Oryctolagus cuniculus: one gene and its partners. The protein of the gene in region 1 interacts with the protein of each later gene in a pairwise test. Links are inferred from orthologs where the notes say so. Each region holds a gene or a part of one and is shown in the gene's direction. Other genes may lie near its edges. The genes, in order: LDOC1, POLL, PSMF1, TASOR2 and GNL3L.

Region 1 (5,953 bases):
GCAGTGTATTGTTGAACAGAAAACCGAGTGATGCCTTATTGTCTTCTTCCAGCTACTTGTTAAAGACTAAACACATTTTTATTTTAAAATTAATAGATAAATCCACAGACACAAGAATAAAATAATAAGAGAGGTAAACTAACGACCTATTAAATTTAAAATGCAGGGAGTTGGCATTTGGCCTCATTGTTAAGATGCCAGTTAAGGGGCCCACATCCCATCTCAGAGTGCCTGGGTTCAAGTCCTGGTCCTTGTCTTCAAGCTGGCCCAGCCCTGGCTTTTGCTGGTATTTGGAGAGGGAACCAGTGAATAGGAGCTTGCTCTCTCTCTCTCTCTCTCTCTCTAATAAAGGAAAATGGTTTTAAAATGCAAATAATACCATCATTGCAAGACTAGTAAGCCACAATTTTCCAGTGAACAATAATGTGCAATCTATGCATAGCAGTTTGTAGTTTGCCAGATATTTTTATGTTATATAATTTGATCTTCTCTGCAGCCAAATGTTGTAGCTCTTATTACCATATGCAGTATTTATATGGAGACTGAGGCTCAGAAGAATTAAACAACTTGCTAAAGTCACACAGTAAGCAAGAGCTTGAGGACTTGAACTCAGAACTCCTTTTCATAAAAGTGTTGTTCTTTCTAGTATGCGTCCCATAACTGTGTTTTCCTATGTTTGCATAGGCCTATATATTTCCCGGAGAAAACATGATTGATTTTTAAATCTCTGTTTGTCTAACTGCGATGCTGCCAGTTCTCACTGTGAGTCACAGCCTTCACGCTACACGGAAGCTGTGTGTTCCTGCCTGCTTGGATACAGATGCACAAGGACACCAATGAGCACATGTGCACCCTTTAGAGTCCTCCCTGGACTTGTACCCACAAGATTTTAGAGTAAGTGACTGACAACAAACACAGAGAGGCCAATGGCACTGAAAGATTTGTATTACTTGTGTTTCTCCAGTGGAGGGAGCACAGCACACCATGCAGGGCCATGGGGAGGGAGTACAAGACTTTGGTCAGGGCACAGAAAGGTGTAGGGAAACCAAAAGCTACAGTCTTTCTTGGGGCATCTGTGGGAAAGGCAAGGCAGGGCTGGGTAAACAGTTTAGGGTCGATTTGTTTAAATAATTCTAGCAGTCTTGAGGGAGTAAGGGGCATCCTAGTTGTCTGATACCTGGACTTAGATTGATTTTTGAACAGGGGAACTATTGGGTTGGGACGTGAGAGTTTAGAAAGAGGAAGTGATTTTAGATACGCTCTGTGAATCTCGGGATGTGTAAACAACCATGGCCAGCCAAGGCCATCCCTACCAAGGCCATCCTGCACGCTGAGCTGAGTATAGGCATGATGGCTGGAAACACACTGTGATATTTCCCATCCATCCCTTTGTGTTATCCACCACACATTTTTGAACTATCTAGGAAACACTGTCAGATATCAAAGGTCAAAGTTTGAGTGAGAGCAGCTCCCTGTCTGCTTTCAAGGTTCTGCTTATCTAGTGGGGGATCTCATAGAACTAAGAGGGAGCTCTTAGGAGGATCTAAGGGTTCACGTTTCTATTTCCTCTTTTCCTTACTCTCCCGTTGAGCAGTGTATTCCTTCCTCCTCTCTCTACTTGGGCCTTGGCTCTGGTTCTCTCTCCCAGCCTCCCACTTCCATGAATGACCATTCAATTCTATTGTAAAGAGTGAATGAGATTACTTTAAAAAATAATTTTGTTATTTGTATTATGACTGATTTCATCATCAGAGCTGCACTACATAATTTGAAGAATCCTTTTGGACACTTTGTGCAGCCACCATTTCTAGTTTTCATCTCAACATTTGCATTTTGAGATGCTATCATTCACCAAACATTAATGGAGACCTTTCTCTGGGCCAGGCTGGCTTCTAGGCACTAGAGATAAAGCAGCTAGCAAACAAAGCCTCTCTCTGCACCAACTTACATTCTACAGTGGAGGCAGATGATGAACAAAGTGCTCTACAATGTGCTGGCCAGGATTATGATGATAAATGTTCTGTATTGAAACATATAAGGTAAGGGGTTAGAGACTGGGTGGCACAGAACAGGGCGCTCTGAGAACCGGAGTGCTCAGGAAAGTTCTGTAGGAATGTAAGGGGAGGAGCCAGGCCTCTAACTGGGAAGAGCTTTGCAATTCAGAGGGATAAAAAGTACAAAGGCCTTGAGGCTGGAATTAGCTGATATGTGTAAGAATCAGCAGGGGGTGGGGTGTGATTAGAGCAGAACTGGGAATGGGAGACCTAGGAGAGTAGGCAGGGCCTTCCTTATAGGGCATGGTCAAGACTTTGTTTTTTATTCTAAGTGACAGGGGAAACTATTGGAGGGTTTTGAGCCAGGGAGGGAAGGGATCTGACTTCTGCGCTAAAGGATTCCCACAGCTACTCTATAGAGAACAGAGTGTAGGAAGAGAAGAAAGCAAGCTAAAAGTGATTGCTTTTAGCGGTCTGGCAATGGTAGAAGTGACAAAGAGGGCTGCATTCGTTGTCAAAAACTATTTGAATATTCACATTCAAATAGAAAAAAACATTAAAGAGCACAAATGTCTTCATGGTTTCCTCATTGTTAAGAATAACAACCATTGCCACAGGCTCTGATATCAGGACGTGAAACAGAGCCACACAGGGAGGTCACCTTAAGCGCTTATCAGATGGTGACTTTGCAGAACTTGTTATAAGCCTCTATTCAGAATTTTTTCAACACTTAGTAATGGTTTCTAAATAAAAGTCCCTGTTCAAATACCGCTTTGCGACGAAAGCCCGGACCCCTTAAGAGTCTTTATGACTCTGAAAGGATCGGTGATTGCAGCAGGGCAGTCAGCAGCGTCAGTACTTCTCTAGGGGAGGTTTGAAAAGGCGATTAATCCTATCAACAAAACATCGCACCCAAGAAACTGGCGTTTGCAGACCCGCGAAACAGTGAATTGTGCGAGTCGGCTGTCTGCGACATGGCGCTCAGTGCCCGCCAGGCCCTAGGCTAACGCAGGCCTCACATCCGGGGCTCGGCCCCATTTCACAGCCTTTACCAGTTCTCCTAGCGAGCCAGCACTTGTCTGCTCTCCGCGACACTGCGCGACCCTGCGCTTCCCTCCCCGGCCACTCCCTCCCTGGTCTCAAGTCCCCTCCAACGGTTCGCGGCAGCCAGGCCACGCCCCCACTGCGTCCTGGCCTCTTCCCCGGCCCCGCCCGCACCTTGCTGCGCCGGCGCGCCGCCTGCCTGAGTGGCCTCGGGGGCGGAGCTTGCGCAGCCGCCGGGACCCCACGCTCGCCGTCCCCCGCCCCTGGCCACAGCACTTTATAGGACACGCACTTCCTGCAAGGCCTCTTGTGTGCATCTTGGCCCAGCGGAGCCTACTCGAGCGAGCCCAGACCTTTCAAGCTGTTCGAGATGGTGGACGAGCTTGTGTTACTGCTGCACGCACTGCTGGTGAGGCACCGCGCCCTGAGCATCGAGAACAGCCAGCTCATGGAACAGCTGCGGCTGCTGGTTTGCGAGAGGGCCAGCCTGCTGCGCCAGGTACGTCCGCCGAGCTGCCCGGTGCCCTTCCCTGAAACGTTTAACGGCGAGAGCTCCCGGCTCCCCGAGTTTATTGTGCAGACGGCGTCTTACATGCTCGTGAACGAGAACCGGTTCTGCAACGACGCCATGAAGGTGGCATTCCTAATCAGCCTCCTGACCGGGGAAGCCGAGGAGTGGGTGGTGCCCTACATCGAGATGGATAGCCCCATCCTAGGCGATTACCGGGCCTTCCTGGATGAGATGAAGCAGTGTTTCGGCTGGGATGATGACGAAGACGACGACGACGACTATGAAGAGGATGATTACTAGGCCCCGAGCCGCTGGGGGCCTATGAGGGGAGAGCCCTGCACGCAGCCACTTCTCCCTCTCCTCCACCCCCACCCCATCCCACCCGACCTCCGGAGCTGCTGCACTCCCCTTGCCTTCCTGTTCTCCCCTCCCCAACCCCCGAAGTGCTTGTCTTTGTTCCAGGAGTAGTGCTCCAGCTACCTGCTGCTGGGGCTGGGCAGGGGCCTCACCCTGAAGCCGGTCATCTGATTTGCCTAGCCCCAGGACCTCTCCCCACCTCATCTGAACTGTGTCATAAGCCCCAGTTATAGGCCAGGCCCCTGTTACAAACTGCTCAGATCACACTGCTGCTGCCACCTGCCTCGCTGCCAGGCCTACACCTGCACAGAGACTCATGCTACCACTGCGCCATCGCCCACTGCAAGCCTCTGACAGATCATCGCTTTTAGAGACAAGGACCAACACAGAAGACTTCTGACTTGGCTACACCTTTTCGGACATTGATTTGGACAGCTCATCGGCCCCTCAAGGGGCTGTTTTTCAACCTGGTTAGTTCCCTACCTACTCCTAGGGTCCTCTACCCAGCCTGAGTGCTGCGGGGACCTGGTGTGCCTGGCAACCAAATTGTTGATGTCTCTTTTCTCTAATGCACAACTGTCGTTTTTCTTTCATAATTGCAGCAGCCCCACCAATGTGTGTGGTTGAACATATGTTTCTAAAAACAAAACAAACAAAAAGCAAAAACGCACTAAGCTCAGCTCCTCAATACTACCTGGAAAAAAAAAGTTGGCATTATTTTCAATAAATATCAAGCACTACAAAAAGTGAGAAATGATTGTCTTTTAATGGTTAAGTGCTATCACTGGCATCTGCCATGCTCACACTGACTCCTGCTATTCCCATTGATGTCCAATTCAATCCCAGTGGTCCCTATTGTCATCTCTAGGCTACAGAGGACAGTTTCCACGGGGCTTTAAAAATATTCCAATGCTTCCCTTACCAAGGCATAGCTTAAAGCCCAAACGGAATGTCTTCTGGGGCCTCCAGGGTGGCATGGGTAAGGGGTGGCTGAGCATGTGGCTCATCATCCCAAACCAGGACACTTTTGAGAGTAAAAGGGGATGCTATTACTAATCATGGTGACACAGCAAGCGTATAAACCTGGACACATGCATGAAGGGGCTTCATGAAGTCCATGGGAAAATGGAACTAAAATAATGTACATTTTCAGTGAACTTTGTGAAGCCCCCAGTGTGAGCCCTGCTTGTCTTTTGGGTTCCTTAACACTGTCAGGGAAGCTCTGTCCCTTAACCCTTATTGCCTGTGAGCTGCTGTTGAGTTCAGGTTCTGATTTACAGACATCTCACATTGTTTTAAAACTACTTCCTGGTACTTGAGATAATCTTAAATCCTGTATCCTGGGTAAGTATACCAATAATCAGTATAGTTTGATCTTAACATTTCATCCGCCTTGGGCACATATTGTCAGGTTCCCACCCATACAAGTGGCCCAGATTCTTGTTATACAAATTAGCAAGGAGCTTGATTATCACATGAACCAGGTACTGTATTGCTGGCTAGGCTACGCTGAGAACTCTGTGAGCATGGGTGATCCCACGGGTTCACAGGGGTGTATGCTGAGAACAATGAGTAGTTCTGTGAAGCCATTACCCCAGGTTAAGTCACTGAAATGTTTAATGAACAGATGCTGTATTATGCGGTTTGTGAGGGCTACCTCTTGAAGCCATGAAGGTTAAGGAGGATTTGAGTGGTTCAGAGTTCTCATTCCCATTGATATCTTCCCAAAATGTCACTGTTATGCCAGCCCTGGAACCAGCCTGACCTCAGGACATCTAATTTATTTAGAATTTATATATATATATAAAATATATAATATGTATATAATATATATAAATATATAAAATATATATATAATCTAATATATATTTTTAGATTATATATATATGTACACACACGTGCACACACACACACATGGTCTTAAGGTCTTTTGAAGCAGGATATTCTTTTATGCATGCTGTTAAATCTCAGAGTATGCATTAAATGAGATACTGGTCATCATTTTAGCTTGCAGGTATAGCTTAAATATGATTATTCCCTTAAGGCC
Region 2 (6,891 bases), on another chromosome or scaffold:
TATTATTATGCTAAGTGAAATAAATCACAATCAAATGGTGTGTGATTCCACTGTGGACTTAAGAGTAGGATGGAGGCCCGGCGCTGTGGCATAGTGGGTAAAGCTGCTGCCTGTGATGCCAGCATCCCATATGGCACCGGTTCGAATCCTGGCTGCTCTACTTCCAATCTAGCTCCCTGCTAATGCACTTGGGAAAACAGCAGAAGATGGCCCAAGTCCTGGGCCTCTGTATCCATGTGGGAGACCAGGAAAAAGCTCCTGGCTTAGGGTCAGCCCAGCTCCCACTGTTGCAGCCATTTGGGGAGTGAACTAGCGGATCGAAGATTGCTTGCTCTCTCTCTGCAACTCTGCTTTTCAAATAAATAAATAAATCTTAAACACACACACACACACACACACACAGTAGGATGGTAACTGCAGAGGCCTGGGTCAGCCAGGAAGCAGTCAGTGCCATGGAGATGCCCTGCAGCTGGTTTCCTGGTAACATGGCCTTTCAACAAACTTTAGCCTTGACCAGGGAAACATCTACTGTGCCTTAAGAAGGAGTAAGCATTACATTTTAGGGCCACTGTTGTGGGAAGAGGGATTGACACTATGAATACAGTTGTGTGGGAATGGGTCTGAAAATGTAATGTACCTCCTTAAGCAATAATCAAGTCTGTTAACTATTACCAGAAGTTCAATGTGATTAACAGTCATACATAAATTTATCTTATTTAAACCTCATTCAATAAATGTACTCAGCCTGTAAAAAGCAAAAACAAAAAAAAGTATAAAACCTATAACCAAACTTGGGCTGTGGAACAGCCAACTCGGGCAACTGATCAGCTCTTTCTGGGTTCAAATGCTTAGTCTGACTTGTTGAATAAATTCAAACTTCAATTTCAACCAGATTCTGATTATTTTAGTCAACACCACTTTTCTGAGGTCACTAAAGGCCAAAGTCACTGAGGCAGAAAGTGGAATGGCGGCTGCGGGCAGGCGGGAGGTAGTTTCTGTTTAAAGCTTGCAGGGTCCCGGCTGGGGAAGAAGAGATTCTGGAGGTGAAAGGTAGTGATGGCTGTACCACAATGTGACGTGCTTAATGATACTGAACTTTAGACCTTCAAATGGCGACAATGCTCACAGCTCTAAACACATTTTTACAATAATACAAAACCAAAAACCACTGCCTGTGAGATAACGTCTAAGATCTCTAGCACAGCCTAAGTGAGCTATTGCAATATACCTCAGTTGATACCCATCCCATCAGATCCTACCATTTTCCCTCTCGGCCCCTTGAGAAATGGGGCCCTTCTGTCCACCCTGTGCCCCAGCGCCTGACACCGTGCAGACAGGTGACTGCATTAGCATCTCTAAATGCAGTGACCAGCCCTAGATTCTCAGCCCTCCTCGCCCTCCCATGACCAGCTCCACCCTCTCTTCTCCACTTACAAGCAAACACTCATTAATTCCTTGGGACCCAGGAACATCACCTCTTCCGCTGGGTCTCTCTCCAAAGACATGATCACTTCGACTTCAGGCTCTCCCGGCCTTGGATACAAGACTCCCTTTCGGGGCCGGCGCTGCGGCACAGTAGGCTAAGCCTCTGCGGCACCGACCACATCCCACATGGGCGCCGATTAGTGTCCCGGCTGCTCCACTCTGCTATGGCCTGGGAAAGCAGGAGATGGCCCAAGACCTTGGGCCCCTGCACCCATGTGGGAGACCCGGAAGAAGCTCCTGGCTTCCCATCAGCCCAGCTCCAGCCATTGGGGCCATTTAGGGAGTGAACCAGCATTTGGAAGACCTCTCTCTCTGTAACTCCACCTCTCAAATATATAAACTAAGTCTTAAAATTAAAAATATTCCCACCTTTATTTAACCAACACTAGCATTTATATTTACGTCTTTTTCAGGACCATCCCGTGAACTCCTGGGCCATGTCTTTTACTTTCCATCTACTTTAGCACAAAGCTTGGCATAAAGCAAAACCTTCCCAAACGTTGCATCAGTGAGCAAGCAAATGAGCAGCTGATTCTAACGTCCACAAACTCCAGGCTTTCCTGATTGGCTGTAGAACAGTCCCTGCCCGCCCCCACCCATCAGCTTGCAAGACTCAGGAATTCAGACCTACTTCACCCTGGCTCCCATGTGGGTCCAGAAAAGGACCCCAAAGCACAGGGGTCCTCATCGGGGAATCTAAGGTGGGAAAAAGTCAAGACCCAATTCCCTGTAGTCAAGACCCAATTCCCTGTGTCCACCTCTTCCAGACACAGAACCTTGCTCTTGGCTCTAAAGACCTTGGAAGCATTTAGAGGGTCTCATTGCGCAGCTATCAACACAGCTGAAAACAATCCCAGCGGTCACAGCGGTAGTGCACCCACCTTACAGATGAGGAAAGTCAGCGCGCCAAGAAGCCCACGGGGCATTAACAGCGCAGTGAGACCTACAGCCCAGTCTCCCGCTCCCCGACGGCACCTCCGCACTGAGGTTCAGGGGGTCCCCGGTCAACATCCAGCAGACGGGCTGAAGGAGCTGGGCCGGTCTAAAACCGTGTATGTCTGCTTTCCCCTTCTGTAAAACGGGGTGGAAAATTAGCATCTCAGGATGCCGGGGAGGAGCAAAGTCGTTCACAAAAACCACAGCGGAGCGACACGGAGCAAACGATACCAGGAGGTGTCCGGGGACACCTGTTTCAGTGACGTCACCTCTCTGGCCTCAGTTTCCTCCTCTACAAATGCAGGCCTGGGCCACGGTCGCGACCCTTCCACCTCTGCCGTCCCGGGACCTCGGGCCCTTCCCGGGGGCCCCAGAACGCGGCACCGGACCCTGAGGGAAAGGGCGAGGGAACTCGCGGGGGCCCTTGAGTTACCGTCCTGCAGCAGCGCCGTCTTCTCCGCAGCCCGCAAACACTCTAACCAACCGGTCACCGCCATCTTCCCTGAATCCTGCAGCGCGCCCGGCCGCTGTCATGGCAACCGTTCTGCTGCTGGGCACTTCCGGGTGACCCGGAAGGTGTTGTCGGGCATTTCCCTCCCACCCCCTCCCACCTCCGTCCGCGCTCATTGGCGCCCCTGGTAAGTCGTTTACCCCTGCCCGTGCTTGGGGCCGAGTCGGGGGGGGGGGGGGGGGATGCGTGGGAATCTAAGGCCTGGTCCGTACATTCCAGCTCTCCTCTGGCCCGCAGCTGAGAGTCCCTGGCCCTCGCCAGCTGTGCTGCTGCGGAGTCCCACACCTGCCCGGGTCTTCACCCCCAGCTGTGAGGCTGAGACTCCCCCAGTCCCTGAGAGCGCCCACACCTGCTGCGGTTGTGCCTCATCTGCCCGCAGCCGCAGGGCTCAGCACCCGCAAGCCGTGGCCCACGACAAGGGCAGGTGCAAGGCTTTCCCACTGCCCCTGCCCCACCCTCCTTCCGGTTTTTCCTCTGAAGAGTTGGTGCTAGAGAAGGATGTAGGGTAGGCGCAGAATCCCCTCCTGCTGCACTCCTCTGGAGGCCAAGAGCTTCCTAAAGACACAGATAGCTCCGTTGCTAGCCCGGCACGTTTTGATAAAACCCTTTGGAAGTGGGATGCGGGAGGCAGATCCCCCTTTGACGCTTCAGTATCTCCCACACCTAAAAAGAACACTCTTTCCCTCATTGCCCTTCGTGCTCCAACTTTGAGAGGCTGGGGAGTGTACAGCAGGCTCATGGCACTAAAATGTAACTGGGTCGTGGGAGACCCTTGGGAAGCAAGTGGCTGTCTCCAAGATTTGGTAGGTAGCGATCGCATCCCCATAGGCCAAGAGGTTCCACATGACAGCTGCTCTGACCAGCCTGGGACAGAAAAGCCAGGAGCAAGCTTCCATGGACCCCGGGGGCATCTTGAAGGCGTTTCCCAAGCGGAAGAAAATTCATGCCAATTCATCACTAAAAGCGTTTGCAAAGATTCCCAAGAGGGAAGAAGGAGAAGCAGCAGGAGGTGAGCTGACTCTAGGAACCCTCGTGTACTTGAACCCTCAGCCTTCTTCTATCCAGCCCTACATCGTTGATGTCTGGAGCCGGAGAGTAGAACTGACTCTTCTGGCCCAGGGGCCGCCAGTCTGTCTGCACCTGCCTTGTGCTAAGCTCTGTCCCCTTCTTTGACAGGCTGCTTGCTGCCTTAGCATCTTCCCTACCCCACGACCTTCATAAACCAGAAAATACTCCCCCGTCCCTCAGGAAAAGACCAGTAGAATCCTCTGTTTTCTGTGTGACAGCCCTGGGGGGCAGGGCAGAAATCCCACTCACTTTCCCAGGCTTGGTGTAGGTCGTTTTGTTGCCAAATTGACCAGTAGCTGCTGGAGTCTTTGAGAAGGGGCTGACGAGGACAGTGTTAGATCAGCCAGCCAGTAAAGGCAAGAAGCCTGGAACAGCAAGTAGTATGTGCTTTTGTTGAAAGAGTAGATCATAAAATAAAGCGAGAGAGAGAAGGCATTCATTCTCTTAATTCATTCAGCAGATATTCATAGGTTACCCACAGTGTGCCAGGCACTGTTCTAGCTTACACAAGGGACAGGGCATATAAAAATCCCTGCTCTTGGGCTGGCGTTGTGGTACAGTGGGTTAAGCCACCACTTTCATTGCTGGCATCCCGTATGGGAGCCAGTTTGAGTCCTGGCTGCTCCACTTCTGGTTCAGCTCCCTGCTAATGTGTGTAGGAAAGCAGCAGAGGATAGCCCAAGTACTTGGGCCCCTGTCCCCAACGTGGGAGACACGGATGGAGCTCTGGGCTCCTGGCTTCAGCCCGGCTCAGCCTTTCCATTTACACGATGCCCGGGAGGCAGCCTGCTGTGTGCTCCAAGAGCAGGCTCCAAGAGGCAGGCTTCTGGAGGGAGCGACTGATCTGGGAGGCGGAGACCAAATGGCTCATTCAGGCCCTGTCTGAAAGTTATGACCTCGCATCTGGATGTCCTCTCCACAGAGTGGCTCCACTCCCTGCGGGTCCACGTTGTGCCCACCGGCATCGGACGAGCCCGGGCAGAACTCTTTGAGAAGCAGGTTGTCCAGCATGGCGGCCAGGTGTGCCCTGCCCAGGCCCCAGGGGTCACTCACATCGTGGTGGATGAGGACGTGGACTGTGAGCGGGCCCTGCGCCTCCTGAGACTGCCCCGGCTGCCCGCAGGTGCTCGGCTGGTGAAGTCGGCGTGGCTGAGCTTGTGCCTGCAGGAGCAAAGGCTGGTGGACACGGCTGGATTCCAGGTCTTCGTCCCCAGCAGGTGGGCTGGCCCCAGGTGTCCTCAAACCCTATCTCGCAGCATCTTGAGTGCCTAAAAACAACTGTTATTTTCTTAACTGGACATGTTTGGAAACTAAGGGCTCAGAGTGGAGAACGAACAGGAACAGAGAAAAGGTGAGACCTTTGGTGTCTTAATCTCCCATCACCATCCCTGCAGGTACTTGGACCAACCGCAGCCCAGTAAGGCAGATGGAGACTCATCTCCTCTTCCTGGCACCCACGAGGCTCTGCTTAGGACAGCCCTCTCTCCTGCGTCCCCTCCCACCAGACCCGGAGCTCTTCCCCCAAAGGCAGGAAAGGCACCAAGCACCCAAGCCCAGGTCAGGAGCCACCCAGCCCCCACAGCTTCCTTCCCCTGGGAACCAAATCTCAGAATGAGGAGGGGCTGGTGGGGGCTGGTGTTGTGGTGCGGCAGGTTAATCTACCACCTGTGATGGCCATCCCACATCAGAGTGCTGGTTTGAGTCCAGCTGTTGTGCCTTCCATCCAGCTTCCTGCTAGTGTGCCTGTGAAGGCGGTACAAGATGGCCCAAGTGCTTGGGTTCCTGCTGAGTGGAAGTGGAACTCATGGGCAAGACCAGAACAAGGCTCCTGGTCCTGGCTTTCGCCTGGCCCAGCCCTAACTGTTACAGCCATTTAGGGAATGAATCAGCAGATGGAAGACACCTTTCTCCCTCTTTCTTCCTCTGTTCCTCTTTCTTTCCCAGTTGCCTTTCCAAAATAATCAGTTTTTAAACAAAGAAAGTCCAGGGCCGGCACTGTGGCATAGCAGATAAATCCTCCGCCCGCAGTGCCAGCATCCCATATGGGTGCCGGTTCAAGACCTGGCTGCTCCACTTCCCGCCCCATTCCCTGCTAATGTGCTTGGGAAACCAGCAGCAGACAGCCCAAGTCTGTCTCTCTCTCTCTGTAACTCTGCCTTTTAAATAAATGAAATAATTTTTTAAAAAAGAAAGCCTCAGGCTCCCGAGAGAGGAATGCTCTCTTGGTTATGAAGCCATTTTGTTCTTCCCAACACTCATCACCCCTGCCTTCACCTAGGCCATTCCCACGCATGCGTGCAGATCCTGGGGCTCGCCACTCAGGGAAGCCGTGAGTTACACACCCCAGACTTAGGGAGACCCTAAGACTGATGCAAAGACCCAACCTCATTTTTGGATCTGGCAAAGGGGACCCCCCCCCCCACACACACAAAGCCAACCTCTACCTTCAAGGAGCCGCCCTCCTGGAGGGCCAGAACTTATCTGCTGTTCTTCCCTACCTCAAGCCCACCTCTGATGATGAAGCCAGCGATGGGGAAGAGCCCCAGGTTAGCGCTGCCGATCTGGAAGCCCTGCTCAGCGGCCACTACCCCACCCACCCTGAGGGAGATACGGAGCCCAGCCCAGCCCCGGAGGCCCTGGAGAAATGGGTCTGTGCACAGCCCTCGAGCCAGAAGGCAACCAACCACAACTCCCACATCACGGAGAAGCTGGAAGTGTTGGCCAAAGCCTACAGCGTCCAGGGAGACAAGTGGAGGGCTCTGGGCTATGCCAAAGCCATCAATGCCCTCAAGAGCTTCCCCAAGCCTGTTTCCTCCTACCAGGTACCTGGGAGCTGAGGGGCAGGGCTGGGGCCTGCCCTGCTGGGGGCTCATGGACGCCAGTCCACTTGG
Region 3 (6,651 bases), on another chromosome or scaffold:
GTTTGATGGTTTCTAAAAAAACTAAAAATAGGGGCTGGTGCTGTAGCACAGTAGGTTAATCCTCTACCTTCAGCGCCACTATCCCATATGGGCACCGGTTCTAGTCCCAGCTGCTCCTCTTCCAATCCAGCTCTCTGCTACGGCCTGCGAAAGCAGTGGAGGATGGCCCAGGTCCTTGAGTCCCTGCACCCACATGGGAGACCCAGAGGAGGCTCCTGGCTCCTAGCTTTGGATTGGCATAGCTCTGGCCATTGTGGCCATTTGGGGAGTGAACCAGTGGATGAAGACCTTTCTCTCTGTCTCTCCCTCTCACTGTCTGTAACTCTACCTCTCAAATAAATAAATAAAATTTTTAAAAAAGTAAAAGTATGGGCCAGCACTGGGGCATAGCAGGTAAAGCTGCCACCTGCAGTGCTGGCATCCCATATAGGCACCATTTCGAGTCCCAGCTGCCCCACTTCTGATCCAGCTCTCTGCTGTGGCCTGGGAAAGCAGTAGAAGATGGCACAAGTTCTTGGATCCCTACACCAGCGTGGGAGACCTGTAAGAAGCTCCTGGCTCCTGGCATCTCATCAGCACAGCTCCAGTCATTGCGGCCATCTAGGGAGTGAACCAGCGGATGGAAGACCTCTCTCTCTCTCTCTCTCTCTCTCTGCCTCTGCCTCTACCTCTGTAACCCTACCTTTCAAATAAATAAATAAATCTTAAAAAAATAAAATAATAAAAATAGAATTACCATACAATCTGGCAATGCCTATTCTAGGTACATACCCCCAAAGAAATGAAAGTAGAGTCTTTTTTTTAAAAAAGATTTATTTATTTTACTTGAAAGTCAGAGTTACACAGAGAGAGAAGAAGAGGCAGAGAGAGAGAGAGAGAGAGAGAGATCTTCCATCCGCTGTTTCACTCCCCAATTGGCTGCAACAGCTGGAGCTGCACCGATCCGAAGCCAGGAGCCAAAAGCTTCTTCTGGGTCTCCCACGTGGGTGCAGGGGTCCAAGGACTTGGGCCATCTTCTACTGCTTTCCCAAGCCATAGCAGAGAGCTGGATAGGAAGAGGAGCAGCCAGGTCTCGAACCGGCGCCCATATGGGATGCCAGTACTGAAGGCAGCAGCTTTACCCGCTACACCACAGCACTGACCCCCAAAAGTAGAGTCTTGACATTTATTCATGTTCATAGCAGCATAACTCACACAAGCCAGCAGGTGGAGGCCGCCCAAGTAGCCATCATCGGATAAATAAAAAAAAAAAAGTGTTATACCCAAACAATGGAATGCTATTTAACCTTATAAGGGAGGAGAATTCCGACTCAGCTGCAACATGGATGAATCTGGAGACCATTATGCTGAGTGAAAGAAGACAATCACGAAAAGATGAATAGAATATGATTCCACTCATACGTGCTATCTGAAGTAGACAAACTCATAGGGACAGAAAGTAGAATGGTGGTTGCCCTAGAGTGCAGGGTGGAAAAATGGAGGGTCATTGTTTAATGGGCACCAAGTTTCAGTTTTTGCAAGATGAAAAGGGTTCTGGAGATAGACGGTGATGATGGTGGACAACAATATAAATGACATTTTAAGAGTTTTTACTGCGGCTGGTGTTGTGGCATAACAGGTTAAGCCACAGCCTGCAATGCTGGCATCACATATGGGTGCCAGTTTGAGTTCTGGCTGCTCCACTTCCAATCCAGCTCCCTGCTAATGTGCCTGGAAAAGCCCCTGCACCCCGTGTGGGAGACTTGGATAAAGCTCCTGGCTCCTGGCTCCTGGCTTCAGTCTAGCCCAGGCCTGGTGTTGTAGCCATTTAGGGAGTGAACCTGTGGATGGAAGCATTCTCTCTCTAACTCTGCCATTCAAATAAATAGATAACACTTTTCTTAAAGTTCATACTTAAATTAGTTAATAGGATAGATGTTTTGTTATTGCATTTTACCAAAATGTTAAAAATCTTTAAAAAAAAAAAAAACAGAGCTACCTTAAAATTCTCTTTCCAAAAATAAGTTGTCTTTTCCAGGTACCCAGTATGCAGAGGACAAGGGGAATGGGAAGTCCTGGGCACCAGTCTGCCATTTGGTCGAAGCAAAGAACACCATTAGTCACATAAGTCTTCCTGGAGTGGGTGACGTGTCTGGCTGACAGAAGGCCAAAGGAAAGGAAGAATCCCAATGTTGAGTGATAGATATCAGTGCCTGTCTGGGCCCTGCCCCCTCAAACTCATTTCTTCATGGTTTCTAGGGAGACAGGGAACTTAGAATGTCCACATTGCTGTCACTTGGTGACCAGCAACAGATGGCTGCAGCCACCTGCCAGGTTCTTTCCATCTTCCTGGGCCCTCGTCTCTGGCATGGGCTCTGTTCTGCCTAGGTAGTAGGGGCCCATCCAGGGAGGCACCTGCCACTTGCTTGTCAGCCACTCACAAGTCTCACAGGGCAGCCTTGGACTCGCTGGTGGAGGTAAGTCCACACAAGGTGTGGGATTGCAAATCTCCAGCCCAGGTTCCTACCCAGGGAGGGTCCTGGGGCCAAGGGAGACAGAACAAAACACAGGAGACAGAGCTCATCTCATTCTTTCAACATACAGAGCTAGCACCTACTTCCTAGCAGTTGCTGGGACACAAACTTTTTAAGGTATAGCTCACCCTTAGTTGGGAGAGAGAGTCCAGAGGAGCCACCATGGCAACGCCCTGTTCACTCCTCAGTAGGGATCTCTAGGCACCAAAGACTCCTTTCTTGCTTGCTCTCAATTCTGCAACTACCTGCCAAAGGGCTTTGTATGATCCCAGAAGCAGCTATCTACCTGTTCCAGACACAGGTGTCGGTGAAAAAACCCCAGCCGACTCCCTCAGCTGGGAGCTGGGAGATACATCCTGTGCTGCCTCCAGAGCTCCCAGCAGGAGTGAGCTCCAGTTGCCCACAGAGTGGCTGGGCTGGATCACACCCTCCCTTCCCTTCCCATCTCATGTGCCCTCTCCCCTACTGCTACTTCCTGGACTCTGCTCCCGAAGAAACCCGCACCAAGACAGAATTAGAGAGTGTAACAGGGAAGCAAAGTTCAACGAGATAACGGCTACAATCAGGATTACACAGAGTGGAACCAAGGGTGGCAGTGAGGGAACTGTCTGCCCAGGTGCTGGTGTCCAGGGGTTGTACATTGTCTGTTTTTTAAAAAAAGCCTTATAATTAGTAATAAAACTGACCAAATGTCAGTGTGCTTTTTATTGCCACCATGAACCAGAGAGTCTAATCAACTTCAATGATAAAATTCTCCTTTCCACTGAGACTAACGGCTCTCACTGTCCCAGGCCCATCCCTTGGCATCCCACTGATGCCAACTGCACAGAAGAAAGAAAAATTAATTGTAGGCCAAAGAGACAAGGGGAGGCCTCACTCGGAAAGCAGCAATGACCTTCTGATCACACAGAACCAGCTGCATAACACACTCCGTGCCTGAGTGCATGCTCTTCCCTCTTACCTTTTGGTCCATAATCCAGTCCCAATCTTCCATCCACGTTCTGTACAGTCAGCCACCTCCTCCTCTGGGAAGCCCTCCCCGACCCCCACTCTGTGTTAGGTGCTTGCTGTGTGCTTACAGAGGCTCCTGAGTACCCCGTTATTAGGGAAGTTTTCACAGTGAGTTATCTTTGTATTTTTTTACCACTAGACAGAGCAAGAGCCATAGGAACAAGAATCAGCTGGCTCGTAGCAGGCATTTGGGAATAGGGCTGCCATTGCACAGGCATCTTTGTGCCGTGCATAGCCTGCTCCATCATCCATGGAAGTCCAGTCTATGAAAGTGGGAATGAATCTGCAAGAATTTTCCTTAACTGGGGAAGGACATTACAAGCAGAAGGAACAGAGCAAGCAATATCAGTGAAGCTGAAAGCCCAAGGCTTCTCAGTGGAAAGGATAAATAGCTTTACAGCACAGGCAGTATGCCTCAGATAGTTCTGTCACTACCAGCTTTAGCTTTAGCATCAATCAGAGTGCAGTCAGCTTACCTGTCTGCATCTCACACCTGCTCAGCCAGAACCTCAGCAGATGGGGCTCAAAGAACCTGGAAACCCTAGGACCACAAAACAGGAGAGGCACAGGGTCAGCTGACAAAGTGAGCCCTGGACTGCAAAGGGGGAAACTAAGCCAAGAATTCCTTCATGCAGTATTCATGCTTTGTTCCTCTCAGTAGGTGTGCATTGAGTGTAGAAGCCACCCAGGGGCAGCTGTGCACAAGACAGACATGGTCCCTACCACCGCTCTGTCACAGTCATTTAGGAAGACATTTTTTCCCCAAAAAAAGCAATAAATATCTAAAGTAGTATCCGGTTATGATGAATGCTTTGCAATAAAGAAGTCAGGGTAAGGGTTAAAGAAGTTTTTCTGGATGAGGTGGTCAGGAAAGCCCCCTGCTGAGGCTGGGGGGTGGTGAGGGAAGGGGCTCCTTAGAATGAAGGAGCAAACCATGAAGATGTTTGGCGAAAGAGCATTCCCAGCAGAGAACGCAGTACAGTCAGCCCTCTGCACCTGCACCTATACTGCATCTGCAGATCCAATCAACTGCACATGGTAAAAGAAAAAGTGCATCTGTACTGAACACACAGACTTTTTTCTTGTCATTATCCCCTAAACAACACAATGCAATAGCCATATACATAGCATTTACACTGTATTATGTATTATAAGTCATCCAGAGGCAAATGAAGATGTGTGTGGATTCCATGTAAATACCACACTATTTTCTATAAGGGATTTGAGCACCCATGGATTTTGGTATCTCAAAGAGATCCCGGAACCAATCCCCCTAGGGACACAAAGGCCTGGGGACATGTGTTGAGGCTCCCATGTGGTGGGGGAGCCTGGTTAGGAGGCAGCTGTAATGGTCCAAGTGTGAGATGCTGGAGACTTAGAACAAGTGGAAGTGCAGGTGGTGGGAAGTGCAGATGCAGAATACATTTTGAGGGTTGGGCCACATTGGATCAACAGCAGAGGGGAGCCAAAAAGTATGGCTGCCCCCAGCACAGGGGATGTGGGTCCAGATGGAGAAGATGACGTCAGCAGAGCACTGAGCTGGGGCAGGGGCTGGCAGACCACGGGGGAAGATTTTGCTCTTCCCCAGGGTGGAAAGGGAATCCTGTGAGGTCCTGACCTGTGTCAAATGAGTCTCAGGTTGCAGACTGCAGAGGAGCCCACAGCAAGGCAGGGTGAAGGGGGGCAGTGCTGAGGTTGGGGCTATCCAAGGGAGAGCCCACCATGGCATGTACGTGAGGAAACTACATTGATTTGAGTAAAAGCACTGACCGGACTTCAAGAAATGATAGAAATCACGAAGGAGAGAGGCAAAGAAATGACTGAAATTCGGTAGTGGGTCAGGAGTTTTGGCTCTGAGGGCAGAGCCAAGGCTTCTGGGAGAAGCGGCTTCAACCCTTTGTCATCTGCCAAACGGGCTGATGGAAAAAATGGAACTCCCTCGCATAGTTGTTGAAGGAGCTATGCAAAGGTTTTGGTACAGGATGCAGCTCACAATAAACACTTATAAAGGTTATCCCAGGAGCCAGACTGTGGGTTTCCAGAACCATCCAGGCCACTCGCTGGACGGCTGCGTTGCTTCGGTCAAATGGTCCCTCTGTGCCTCGGCTTCCTCGTCTGTGAGATGATTATAACACTAATACCAACTACCTAGGATTGTTCAGTAAGTGAACACAAGTAAAGCGTCTAGGCACGGCACGGCACACGAGCTAACAGTTACTGCGACTATTCCTGGGCCATATTCTCTAGCTTCTTCTGCACTCGAGCACTCCCCCATTTGCGGATAGGGAGACTGTGACTCACAGGGAAGCGTTCCCTCCTCAGGGTCGCAACGCCATGGCTGTAGCAGACCCTGAGGGCTGTGGAGGGGCTCAGGAGACTCTGGCTTTGAAGCGCCGCTTCCTGCACGCGCGCTCCCTGGAGGAACCATTCAGCATCGCGCTAGCGTTTCCCGTCCGGCGCGCCTTGCGCCGCTGCGCCGGCGCTTGCAGTTACTTCCGGCAGCTGCGTCCCACCCCTGGGCGTCTCCATTTTGGCGCTGGTGGAGTCCCGGGCAGAGCTACGGAAAAGCGGAGCCGAGGTAGAGCTCGTCGCGGGGCCACGCCAACTCACTGCACTCTCCCCGTTCCCTCCTCTCCCCGCAGAAGCTGCGGACGCTCATGGCGGGCTTGGAAGTACTATTCGCCTCGGTGGCGCCGGTCATCACCTGCACACAGGACGCGCTCATCTGTTTCCTGCACTGGGAGGTGGTGACCCACGGCTACTACGGCGTGGGTGCCAGCGACCAGGTACGCCGCGGAGCCCGCCGGGGTGGAGTGGGAGCCGTCCTCTGTCCGGAGGCCCAGGGCCCGATCCAGAGCCCCTGACCTCCCCCCTCCCCGGGGCATGGCAAAGCTGTGCCAGCCCAGCCCGGCGCCCCTCCTAACAGCTGGTGCGACATTGATTTGTAAACTGAAGGACAGCAACTCGTTTCAGCACAGCCCGGCAGTCTCCCAGACCTGGAGTGTACGGGCCTCGCACCGAGACAGAGGGGCCGCCCCCCAGGGTTCTTCTCACCCACCTGCTCCCCTCTGTGAACTCCTTACCACGGAGCTGCGAGGTGGGGCGCGTGGGACAGCACACCCAGTAC
Region 4 (6,099 bases), on another chromosome or scaffold:
AAACCTGGGGTTACTCATTCCATTTATGAGCCTTAGAGGGCTTGCAAAATGAGCAGGATCATTATCAAAGTTAAGATTTCGGGAGCATACATGCCAGATGGTGTCCTAAGCCCTTTAATAACAGTAACTCAATTCTCAAACCAATGAGGTAAGGACTGTTATTCTCCACATTCTGTAGATAAGCAAACTGTGGCATAGAGAAGCAAGGAAATTGTTGAAAATCATGCAGTAAATTCTCAAGACTCAAATCTAGGCAGCTTAGATGTTTGTCAATGTCAGATTCAGTGTATGTGGGTACATATATAAGGAGTCTTCAAAAATTCATGGAGAGAGCATTTTTTGAAAGAACTATACATGAATTTTAATTGTTTTTGCACCAAAATAAACTTTTCTCATTTTTGAAGTACCTCTGTAAAGATGCATATTTTTGTGTTTATGTATATTGTAGTCATATATGTGCTTTTTCCCCCCGAAGATGGAGTTCAGAAAGTTCATCTGATTGTTTAAAAGGTACATAAAAAACAATTAAGAATTACCACCTTAGCATAAGAAAATGTAATTTAGTCAGGCAAATTTTGATTACTATCCAAATAAATACTTCTTATATATATATATATATTATATGATTTATTTATTTATTTGAAAGAGTTAGAGTGAGCTTCCATCCACCAGTTTACTCCTCAGATGGCTGCTACTGCCACGGTTGGACCAGCCTGAAGCCAGAAGCTTTATCTGGGTCTCCCAATGGATGGCAGGGGTCAAACATTTGAGCCATTTTCTGCTGCTTTTCCCAGGCCATTGGCAGGGAGCTGGATTGGAAGTGGAACAGCTGGGACACTAATCAATGCCTGTATAGGATACTAGTGTTACAGATGGCAGCTGTTTTTTGCAGATGGCATTGCCCCATACACGTAATAGTTTCTTAAAGTACCTTTTGGGGGCTGGTGCTGTGGCTTAGCAGGTAAAGCCACCATCTGCGGTGTCGGCATCCCATATGGCTGCTGGTTCGAGTCCCAGTTGCTGTACTTACAATTCAGCCCTCTGCTGTGGCCTTGAGAAAGCAGTGGAAAATGGCGCAAGTCCTTGTGCCCTTGCACCCATATGGAAGACCTCAAGGAAGCTCTTGGCTCCTAGCTTCGGATTGGCACAACTGTGGCCATTGCGACCATCTGGAGAGTGAACCAGCAGGTGGAAGACCTCTCTCTTTCTCCCTGCCGCTGTTTCTCTGTAACTCTGCCTTTCAAATAAATAAATTTTAAAAACAGTACCTTTTGCTTCTTGTAATATTTAATGGTAATGTAACTACCTATCATCATACTATTCTTAGGAATGATTTTTGGCAAACATGAAAATACAGCATAAAGAACTATAAAATGGAATATTAAAATTAGTGATTACTAACAATCTTTCTAGCATTTATACAGGTCAAGTCTGACCCAAAGTGCTTAGGACAAGTGTTGCAGATTTTGGATATTTGTGTAGACTTCACCAGTTAAGCATCCCTAATGTAAAATCTAAAATGCTGTACAATTCAAAAATTTGAATTCAGTACCCAAAGTATTTCAGTTTGGATTCAGATTAGTAATGCTCACTCTATAGTTGAAAGTTTTTCCATCATCTTTTAGTTATAGTGCCTGCAGTTGAAAAGATGCACAGATTTGTTGTATATGCCATTCACTTCCTCAACAAGTGATCACCTTGGGATATGAAGGGGGTTCCAGACAGGTACCAGAAATCAGTGGCATTTTGTTGTACTCATATGCTGAATTGAGTTCTTTATAATATTAGACTTTATTTTAGAAATATCACACTGTATCTGAAGTAAAAAATAGATCCAGGCAGGCATTTGACCTGTTGGTAAGCTGCCACTTGGAAAGCCCACATACATATCAAAGATCCTGAGCTTGAGTACTGCCTCCACTCCCAGTTCAAACTTAATATACATCCTGGGAGGCAGCAGGTAATGGCTCAAGTAGTTGAGTTCCTTCTACCCTACCCACATGGTTTGAGTTTCCAGCTCCTGGTTTCAGCTTGACCTAGGTCTGGCCGTTGTAGGCATTTGAGAAATGAACCAGTGCATAGGAGCTCACTTGCTCTCTCTGCCCCCCCCCCCCCATAAATAAGTAAATACATTTAAAAATAATTTTTAAATATAAATATATCACGATTGTCATGTTGGCATTTCACTAAGACCATGAGGTGGCCAAATATTATCAGCCATAGCTGGGTTGGGGGAATAGCACAGGAATATTCTCAGAAAAATTCCTGCCATCAAGACTTTTCTAATGTTTTGTCTACATAAAACCTCATCTCAGGCCCACCCTGCTGCCTAATTAAGTTAATGTTTCTTTGGTTAAGACAGAAAGGGTTTTAGAGAGATTTGAGGCTAATGTGCACCCTGGGAGGCAATGAATGATGGTTCAAGTGCTTGGGTCCTTACCACCCATATGGGAGACCCAGATGGAGTTCCTGGCTCCTACCCTGCCCAGCCCTAGCTGTTGTAGACATTTGGGAATGAACCAGTAGATGGATGATCGCTCTTGCTCTGTCACTGTGCCTTTCAAATAAATAAAAGTAAACTTTTTTTAAAAAAAGATAGAGATTTGAAACCCAGATCCTGACTTGCCAGCATGCTTCAAGATACAGTAGGTAATCTGTAAGCATAAAATTCCAAACATTAGAGGCATAATCTGTGTAATCTCCCCATTTTACCATATTCTGGAAAAGACAATACTTGAGACTTTCAACAAAACAAAACAGCCTGTCCATAAGGTTATTAGAATTGTCCTCCGGTAGTTCTGCCAATATTTAACCTATCTTGTTATTGTTTAATCCAGTCCCTTTATTTTAGGAATGCAAACCACATTGATAAGTTTTCTGTTGATCTGTGGAATAAGAAGTATTAAAACAAGAAAGAATTCTGTCCAGTTTTAAGTAAAAAGGATAGCTATGGGAGAAGGGACCTTAATTTATCTGAATTATTGTATTCTCAGTTGTAGTTAATTTATAGTGTTGCCTCATGGGACAGTTTGAAATGATGGTGTATTTATAGTCTTAACTCATTTATTTGATTTTTTTTATCATTTCAGGTAATTGGGGAAAAAACTAAACAAGAATCATCAGCTAAATCGGAGACTTCTAAACTTATGCTTTCTGATATTGGAAATGCCCAAATTAATGGACTTTCTGTTCCTAGTAAAGATAAAACCTTTCAGCAACTTGATAGCACAACATTGGTTCCTTACAATGATACTGTCACACAAGTCCCATTCACCACAACTTACAGTGAGACCAGCAATCAGTCAGTGATGTGTCAAAAGTCTGTGTGCAGCACCCTTGAAAGCAAAGTTGATATTTTTCATGCACAAATGCAAACAAACACAGGTGCTTTACAGGACCATATCCATCGTAGAAGCCCCATAAGCAATGAATGGCAGCCTTCCTTGGAGAGGACAGATGATACGGGGTATGTAATGATTAATCTGGAACCGGTTACTCTTACATTTGACAAAAATGCCTATGTACCAGTACAGACAGAAGTTGTAAATAGAGGTGATAAACCAGTTACCTTTAATACAGAGTTGATTAAGCAAGTATCACCTACTACAAGTATTGGACATCCTGTATCCACAGTAGAGAAGTCACAAATACAAAGTCTTGGGGGCATTCCACCTCTAGCAATGTCAGGACAGAAAGGTGCTAATTACCTTTCTGCCTCTTTAGTAACTAATGGAACACTTGCTGAAGAAACATATTCCTTACAGAAAGAGATACCTCTTACAATCTCATCACCATCTGATAATGCAGTGGTAATGAAGACGTTGTTAGGTAAAGGTTCTAGTTATCCATTAGCTGATGATAAAATGAAACAGTCTCAAGAACTTTTTATGCAGACTCAGAATCTCTTTAGCATATGTTCAGAAGAGATAGTAGAGCCATCACAGGTTGAAGTAGTCTCACCATCAGCCTCTATCACCTTGGAGAAAAAGTATTCACTTAACTGCATTCCATCAAAAATCAATACATCAGATGACTCTTTTGAACTAAGAAAGAATGACAAGAGTGGTATAAACAATGAAAATATGCATTTTGAATCATTTAATTCAATATTTGCCACTAAACAAACCAGCCTGTCTCCAAATAGAGAAGAAGTTAGTGTAGAGTTATCAGAGGAGGATTCTGATATTGACTTAACTCTAACAATATCTCCACCTTCAAGTCCCAGAAAAGAAATGCCATCTGATGAAAATGAGCAACTTGAGGATGTCCCATTATCAAATATAGAACTTCAGGATGTAGTTGAAGAAATAGCTGAGCCAGAAGAGGTGACCCTCATGGAAAACAGACCAGTGAATTCAGTGTATCCTGCAATGTCAAAAAAACTATTAGAAAATAAAGAGAAGAAAAGTGATAATTTACAACCAGTTACTTTAATACTTTCTAAAGAAAATTGTACCCTTGAAATTGCAGAGGAAGTTATTACCTCTGACTTTCGCTTTGATTCTCTTATTGAGGAAGTGTCACCAGCTTCTAGTCCTGACCCTCCAGTATCAATTGAAGAAACACGACCAACTCAGACTGTGTCACCATGTAGTTTAATACTTTATGGTACACAGTGTGAGAAAAGTAACAAATTCTCCCAGATTGTGTCAGGAGATTTAGCCATAACAGAAAAAGAAAATTCTTTAATTGGGCCTAACTATACTGAAAGACAAGGTAATTTCACTCAGGTACAACAAATTCAACTGTCTGCTGATACTCCTCAAGCATTAAACAATCATCCAGGAAGAAAAGATAGACTAGCACTTCCTGGTAAAGTAACAGAGGAAATTGTCCCAACTGAGCAAGATGAGGGTTTATCTTTCTCAGAGGAGGTACAGTGCTATGATACAAAGTTAAACCAGCCTGCCTCAACTGGCCAAAATGAAGGTAATGTCAAGCCTTCCCTTGAAAAACTGGTAAAATCGGGAAATTCATTGCAACCAATTAGCATAGAGAACAGACATTTGGACTTAAAACATCTTGTCTTGGAGTCCAGTGAACCTCCATTTAGTCCTAGAAAGATTAATGAAAATAAGTCTTTGGCTGACACATTAGTTTCTACAGCTACTCTAAGTGATATAATGAATATGCCAATAAAACAGCAGACTAGCCCTAAAAGCATTAAGAAAAATTTCTTTCACAGTGATTTGAAAACAGAGTATGGCAGTTCAAGTAAGGCCAATCTGTTGAACTCTGACTCCATTGATGGAACTGATGCTGTGCACCTAGAGATCCCAAAGCTTGGTCCTCCCTCTGATGGTACTACATTAACTCACTATGCATTACCAGTTAGTGTAGAGCCAGGGTTTCGAACACAGGAAATATCTGTAGTCAGAATGGCCAGTTTGCTTAATAGTGAAACTGAAGCTGAGTTACATGAAGAAAACACAGATCTACATGTTGCCAGCCCTCAGTCTGACAGCACATCCACAAAAAATGAACAAAAAATCTGCATGCTGCAGAATACATCATGGGAAACAAAAGAGCTGTTGAATGGTGAACTTTTCCCCAAAGATGCTGGTCCTTACCAAAAAACAGCAGATACCAGTAAAGATATCAATAAAGAGCCTTCTGCTTTCTCTATTCCAAAATCCTTTGACTCTCTTGTTTGTGAAATCTCTAAAGAGCATGTGGAAAGTAACAGCACTACTGAGGGGTGCAGGGCTGAGGCTGATTCTGAAACCCTAGACAGAGACAGACAGAGCAGTGTGAATTCTGACATATACTATGAGGCACTTTCTGAAGACCATGATGAATTAGATGTGGAGGATTCTTACACTTTGAGTGGTAGTCATACCAGGAAAAAAGATGCTACAAAAGGTGGTTTTGACACTTTTATGAAGGTAAACAATAATGATAATGAAGGTTGGAGCTACTTTAACAAAGTTCCAGAGCTGGAAACCAGCATTCCACCCAGAAGCTGGGCTATTAGTTTAAATAAAGAAGATAAATGTGTGCCATGCTATATCCAAATCCGAGATCTCCATGGTATTCCCAGAACTTACCCTAACTTTACTATAACAAAAGAGCTCAAAAATACCACAGGAACTTTGCATA
Region 5 (6,099 bases), about 81 Mb from region 1:
CGGAGCAGGCCAATGAAGATACCATGGAATGTAAGTGTGGTGGGTGGGTACACTTGATTTTGCCCTAGTGGAGCCACATAGACCTGACAGCAAATCCCACATTTGACCTCTCCCTTCCCTGATCCCACTCAGGCTTCAGGGCAAGTTGTTTAGCAAGCTCTATGCTTAATTTCTTATCTAAGGTGGAGACTTCTACTCTGGATCATGGGGGTTGTGGTGGTTGTGTGTTTTTGGTAGATAAGAAAGAAATATGCAGATATCTTATACCTGTTGAGGTGTTCCAGAAATGTAAGGCTCCATTCCTGTCCTTGGGACCTGGAGTAGACATTTTAAAAAACTGTTTCTCTGATGTTTCCCTAGGCCTTTTCTTAGCCATTTCAGGTCAGTTCCTAGATTTTCCCTCTTATCTCCATTTGCAGGTCAGATATCCAAGTCATAGAAAGGCATTTTGTCACTGGCGGGTTAAGGTGGCCTTCAAACCAGCTCTTGAAGACTTAAGAGTAGCTAGGTGGATTGAAATCCAAGATTTGTTTTTTATTAGCTGTGTGATCCTTCACTTCTCTCTCAATGATATCATCTGTAAAATGGTGACAATAGCACCCTCCCCAAAAGGTAGAAGTGAGGATTTATTTAATATGTAAAAGACACTTAAAAAAACAGTACCTGGTGTATAGTAAATAAATACTCAGCAAATGTTAGCTGTTACTAAGATTATTTGCTGGAGTTCAGAGGCATGCCTTTCAGAAACTCCTGGGGAAATTTGTCCCATTCAGACACTACCCTCTGCAGCTCTGCCTTGTGGCTCCTACTTCCTTGTCTGCCCTAAAGAAGGGTGGGCCTTTCTCTGGGCCTGTCTGTAGACACTCTGGCCTAGTTGAGAAAGCTCTGGATTTCTGCTTTGAGTTTCTCTCTAGGGCCACTGGGTCTTTCAGTGTCCTTGAATTCCAAACGAGGGAAAGAGGACTTGCCTGCTTCCTAGTGCATTCCTCATGTGGCGACAGGCGAGTTGGTCCCCCTTTCTGAATGAGTTATCCTTGTGTCAGCCAGTGATTGAGAGTGGGTAGAGCTCATGTTCTGATGATGACGCTTGTCCCTGGCTGGATGTGAGGTCAAGAGGGACTCCTTTGCTGAGAGTGCTGAAGATGGAGACTTGGCAGTTGAGAGAGGGTGAGGGAGAGATGAGTGGTGAAGATTTCCCAGAGGAGTTGGCCCTAGGGCTGGATCTGATCTTGAAGGGTGAGTAGGGATGAGAGGGGCCAGGGGAGGGGTGGACTAAGGTGTAGAAGCAGGCTTGAGCGTAGCATGGGCACAGGGCAGTGGGCACACCTAACAGTAGAGGCCAGCCCTAGGCAAGGGGCCAATGGGAGGAGGGGGAGTCCCAGTGGCTACCATTTACCGAGTAGCAGTGTGGCCCAAGCATCGTAGATGCCCCCTGCCATGTCACACAGCAGCGCTGTGTGAGTAGCCTTATGGAATCCCCATTTTTCAGATGAGGATGCTCAGGCTCCAAGGCTAGCTCAGTAGGCGGGTGTTTTACTGCAGAAGCCATGCCATGCTTTTAATACTTTGTCATGTAATCTCTAGTAGGAATGAAAAAGCCACCAAGTGCCCTGGGTAGCACCCATATATCCTTTCCACTGGGGGTTGATGAGGGACTGGTAGCAGGGACAGGTCAGGGCCCTGACAGTGGTGTTGCTTATGTTAAAGGTTTGGCCACAGGAGAATCAGATGAACTGTTGGGTGACACAGACCCACTTGAAATGGAGATCAAGTGGCTTCATTCTCCGATGGTGAAAATAGCAGATGCCATTGAAAATAAAACCACCGTGTACAAGGTACCTGTTCTGTTTCTTCCTGGCAGCCCTTCACTCTGTCTAGGGCTCTTAGAAATGGTCCCTGCCTTCTGCCTGGCTTCCATGAGGTCGTGAGACATGCGTGGTTCACTCACTCCCTGAGGGATCCTGGGTACTTGGCACGGTGCATCATTTGCCAAGCAACGACAGTTCCAGGCGGGAGGCACACTCTCTCAAGCAGCTTTCCCAGGCCTATTCTAGCCCATAGAATAGGCATCATTGTCTGCTCTCCTGGTTGTCCAAGTTGCAAATGGCTTTTTTTTTAAAGATTTATTCATTTATTTGAGTTAGACAGAGAGAAGGAGAGGCAGAGAGAGAGAGAGAGGTCTCTCCATCCTCTGGTTCACTCCCTAATTGGCCACAATGGCTGGAACTGTGCCGATCTGGAGCCAGGAGCCAGGAGCCAGGAGCTTCTTCCAGATCTCCCACGCGGGTGCAGGGGCCCAAGGACTTGGGCCATCTTCTACTGCTTTCCCAGGCCATAGCAAAGAGCTGGATCAGAAGTATAGCAGCCGAGACTCAAACTGGTGCCCATATGGGATGTCGGCACTGCAGATGGTGGCTTTACCCGCTACGCCACAGCGTCGGACCCCCTGGATACTAATTTTTTTAAAAAAGATTTATTTATTTGAAAGAGTTACAGAGAGAGAGAGAGGAAGAGACAGAGATGTCTTCCGTCTGCTGGTTTATTTCCCAGATGGCTGTAATGGCCAGGGTTGTGCCAGGAGCTTCATCCAGGTTTCCCACATGGGTACAGGGATCCAAGCACTTGGGCAATCTTTTGGTGCTTTTCTCAGGCCATCAGTAGGGAGTTGGATCAGCAGTGGAGTAGCTGGGATGCAAACTAGTGCACATATGGAATGCCAGCATCCTGGTCAGTGGCTTTACCAGCTGCACCACAATGCTGGCCCCCTGGATACAAACCTTTAAAAATATGTAGTTTAAACATATTTTGATTTACTTGGAGGACAGAGGAACCCAGAGAGACAGAGATCTTCCACCTGCTGCTTCACTCCCACAACAGCTGGGGCCAGGACCCCAAAACTCTATCTAGGTCTCCCAGGTGGGTGGCACAACCCCAAGCACTTGAGCCATTCTCTGCTGCCTCCAAAGGTGCACATTAGCAGGAAGCTGGATCAGAAGCAGAGTCAGGACTTGAACTGGCACTTTGATATGGGATGCAGGCATTGTAAGCACTGACTTAACCTGCTGTGCCACAGCATCTGCCCCTGGATCCAAGTTTTCTTAAGTACCCTCCTATATAGATACAAGCAGATGCAGCTAACTTTTAATTCAAGCAATACCATGCTATTCACGTTGTTGTGTACTTTGCTTATTTTACTTACAAATTCATCCTGGAGCCTGTTCCACATGATTATTCAAAGGGCTGTTATTTTTTTTTTCATGGCTATATGCCTGGAAGGATTTCTTAAGCAAGGGAGTGACATGGTCAGATTTGTATATTACAACAGTCATTCTGGTGGCTGGAGTAAAAAATCAGATTAGAAAGAAAGGGGCCAGGGAGTGGGCATTTACCCAGCAGTTAAGGTACTTGTGTCCTACATCAGAGTGCCTGGATTTGATTCCTGGCTCTGGTACCAGTTTAGACCCTGGGAGGCAATGGTGATGGCTCAAGTACTTGGGTTCCTGCCACTCATGTGAGCGATGTGGATTGAGTTTCCTGCTCTGAAACTCCATTAATTGTAGGCATTTTGGGGAGTGAACAAAAGGATGGGAACTCTGTTTCTGTCTGTCTGCCTCTGAAATAAATTCGAAGAGAGCAGGAGAGAGGATGTGAAGAAAAGAGGGATGGGGGAGAGGGAGAAAGGGCAGTAGTGGAGATCATGGCAAAAGCAGGGAGTTCAGGGAAGAAATTATAGTCTATAGTGAGTCTATAAGAGAAGATGGGGTCTGAACTCTGACAGTGGCAGGAGCCACTCTGTCCCATTCTCACATAGTCTCAGAGGTGCCCTGTTGCTTAAAGGAATAACATCGTGAAGTTGTGTGTTTTAAGTTCACTTTCCCCCAATAATACCTCTCACTAAACCCATAAGCCCCAGAACATAGCATTTTCCCTCAAGAACCTGTACTCTCATCAGGGCCACACCATTGCACAACTCTGAGCGACACCACTTAGGGACACTATATTATGAATGGTTTCCCCATCCCTATCCCAGGTAGTACAACGTGATTTAAAAATTTTTTTTATTTATTTGAAAGGCAGAGGTACAGAGAGAGAGGGAGAGAGAGACAGAGAGGTCTTCCATCTGCTGGTTCTCTCCTCAAATGACTACAAAGGCCAGGGCTGGGCCAGGCTGAACCTAGGAGCTCCATTCAAGTCTCCCACATAGGAGGCAGGGACCCAAGCACTTGGGCCATCTTCCACTGCTTTCCCAGGTGTGTTAGCAGGGAGTTGGATCAGAAGTGGAGCACCCACCCAGGACTCGAACCAGCACCCATATGGGATGCCAGTGTCACAGATGGTGGCTTAACCTGCTGCAACCACAATACGGGCCCTGGTACAGTGTGATCCTTGATTAGATCCACCCATCTTGGCTTTTCCCTGTGATAAGATAGTGAGTGGTCATACATATGGGTTCTGGAGCTAGGCTGCTTGGGTTCTGATTTCCTCTACTGCCTACCAGCTGTGTGACCTCAGGTACCCCATTTGCATAGTATTGTTACAAGGTGAGTTAATACAAATATATAAATGAGATAATACATGACTTAATGGAGATATGTTCTGCAAAATGGATCATTAGGCAATTTTCTCATGTGTAAACATTATGGAGGGGACTTATACAAACTAAGACAGTTTATGGCATTGCTTGGTGATAAATCTTATGGGATCACCATGTACATGCAGTCCATTGTTGACCAGAATGTCTTCCTGTGGCTCATGGCCAAACATATGTGTTTGTTGTGTGTGTGTGCACATGTGCTCACAGTGGTGCCTGGTACACAGTGAGCTTTCTGACAATAATGGCTGCTACTACCCACTTGTACCTTTCACTGCTGCCAGATAGATCCCCTTTTTAGTGCCCAGGTATGCTGTGTACTTTTCCACTGTTCAGTCAGGAATGACTCTCCCTGTCAGTTGTATGTTGACCATGCCATTGCCCCCAGCCTCTCAGTCACTTGGCCTTCATGTCTCTAGTGGGCAGTTACTATTACCGTACTCTGACTTGTGGTATACATTGTTCTATCCTCTGTAGCCTCATTGTTCCATGGGGCTGGGACTGAGTGTGATTCATTTCTCTGTTCACAGCGTTGCCCCATATGGAGCTGGGCACAAAATAGATATCAGGAAACATGTTAAATTGAGTAGGACTTTGAAGGGGCATTGCAATATCAGTTATTATTGATGAAGTAATTCTTTCATTTTATTCTTGTAAAAGCTATACAGGCTGCCTGTTATCTAGTCCATTTGACAGAGGCTGAGAGCAAACTCAAGCGTGCTCACATGTGGTGGAGCCAATGTTGAAGTTCAGTTCTGCATGGCTCCAGGCTCTCTGTTTGTACCCAGGCCTGTCCCTGCCTGGTCTGCAGAAGTCTTTGGAGGTCTGTTATCTTCTCTCTCTGCAGATTGGAGAGCTCACTGGGTATTGCACTAAACCAAACCGTCATCAGATGGGGTGGGCTAAACGCAATGTGGAACACTGCCCCAGGAACAACAAGGAGTTGAATGCCTGCCCAGTGGACCGCCGCCCGATGCTGCAGAAGATCATGGAGACCGACCCCCTGCAGCAGGGCCAGGCTCTGGCCTCTGCCTTGAAGAATAAGAAGAAGATGCAGAAGCGTTCAGGTGGGGACACGTGGCCATTGCTGTGCTCCAGAATGGGCCTTCCTGGGGCTTTGAATAGGGGCTCTTGAAATGAGCATCTCTGTGTGTCCGACTCCAGGCAAAGCTTAGGGGGCAGAGATGGTTTAGGAGGCTCAGCTACTAGCACAGTAGTTCTCAAGCTTTACCCTGCTTCAGAATTGCCTAGAGGGTTTCTTCAAACAGATTTCTGGGACCATCCCCCAGTTTCTTACCGAGTAGGTTGGAGGTGGGGCCTGAGCGTTTGTAATCTTAGCAGGCTCCCAGCTGCTGCTGATCCTCTGGGGAGCACAGTCGGAGAACTGTTGGCCTAGTCTGCAGGCCAAATAGACACACGTATGACGTGACTTCTAGGTGTTAGGCAGCTTGCAGGCTTATATAATTTTTGCTTTATCAATAGGCAATATATTAAAAAACCAAAAGGTA

The links.
Region 2: the proteins of LDOC1 (region 1) and POLL interact in a two-hybrid assay, tested with the Homo sapiens proteins (2 studies listed by BioGRID and IntAct). The two-hybrid records come from large-scale screens. The link is inferred for Oryctolagus cuniculus from reciprocal best matches to the Homo sapiens genes LDOC1 and POLL.
Region 3: the proteins of LDOC1 (region 1) and PSMF1 interact in binary tests that used the Homo sapiens proteins (3 or more experiments, as listed by UniProt). The two-hybrid records come from large-scale screens. The link is inferred for Oryctolagus cuniculus from reciprocal best matches to the Homo sapiens genes LDOC1 and PSMF1.
Region 4: the proteins of LDOC1 (region 1) and TASOR2 interact in binary tests that used the Homo sapiens proteins (3 or more experiments, as listed by UniProt). The two-hybrid records come from large-scale screens. The link is inferred for Oryctolagus cuniculus from reciprocal best matches to the Homo sapiens genes LDOC1 and TASOR2.
Region 5: the proteins of LDOC1 (region 1) and GNL3L interact in binary tests that used the Homo sapiens proteins (3 or more experiments, as listed by UniProt). The two-hybrid records come from large-scale screens. The link is inferred for Oryctolagus cuniculus from reciprocal best matches to the Homo sapiens genes LDOC1 and GNL3L.

Annotation. Positions count from the first base shown.
Region 1 is NC_091453.1:119,606,847-119,612,799, forward strand, and holds LDOC1 (protein LDOC1), read left to right. Parts: upstream 1-3,044; 5' UTR 3,045-3,408; coding exon 3,409-3,849; 3' UTR 3,850-4,652; downstream 4,653-5,953. UniProt on the Homo sapiens protein: May have an important role in the development and/or progression of some cancers.
Region 2 is NC_091446.1:28,331,634-28,338,524, forward strand, and holds the start of POLL (DNA polymerase lambda), read left to right. Parts: upstream 1-2,955; 5' UTR 2,956-3,059; intron 3,060-3,322; exon of another isoform or gene 3,323-3,437; intron 3,438-3,442; exon of another isoform or gene 3,443-3,669; coding exon of another isoform or gene 3,670-3,775; coding exon 3,776-3,941; intron 3,942-4,922; coding exon 4,923-5,217; intron 5,218-5,394; coding exon 5,395-5,557; intron 5,558-6,504; coding exon 6,505-6,822; intron 6,823-6,891. Other genes in the region: protein DPCD, read right to left, coding at 2,855-2,955.
Region 3 is NC_091442.1:27,066,288-27,072,938, forward strand, and holds the start of PSMF1 (proteasome inhibitor PI31 subunit), read left to right. Parts: upstream 1-2,277; 5' UTR 2,278-2,456; intron 2,457-4,000; exon of another isoform or gene 4,001-4,065; intron 4,066-5,825; exon of another isoform or gene 5,826-6,166; 5' UTR 6,167-6,181; coding exon 6,182-6,310; intron 6,311-6,651. UniProt on the Homo sapiens protein: Plays an important role in control of proteasome function. Inhibits the hydrolysis of protein and peptide substrates by the 20S proteasome. Also inhibits the activation of the proteasome by the proteasome regulatory proteins PA700 and PA28.
Region 4 is NC_091444.1:79,650,387-79,656,485, forward strand, and holds part of TASOR2 (protein TASOR 2), read left to right. Parts: intron 1-3,089; coding exon 3,090-6,099.
Region 5 is NC_091453.1:38,618,077-38,624,175, forward strand, and holds part of GNL3L (guanine nucleotide-binding protein-like 3-like protein), read left to right. Parts: coding exon 1-30; intron 31-1,707; coding exon 1,708-1,835; intron 1,836-5,438; coding exon 5,439-5,658; intron 5,659-6,099.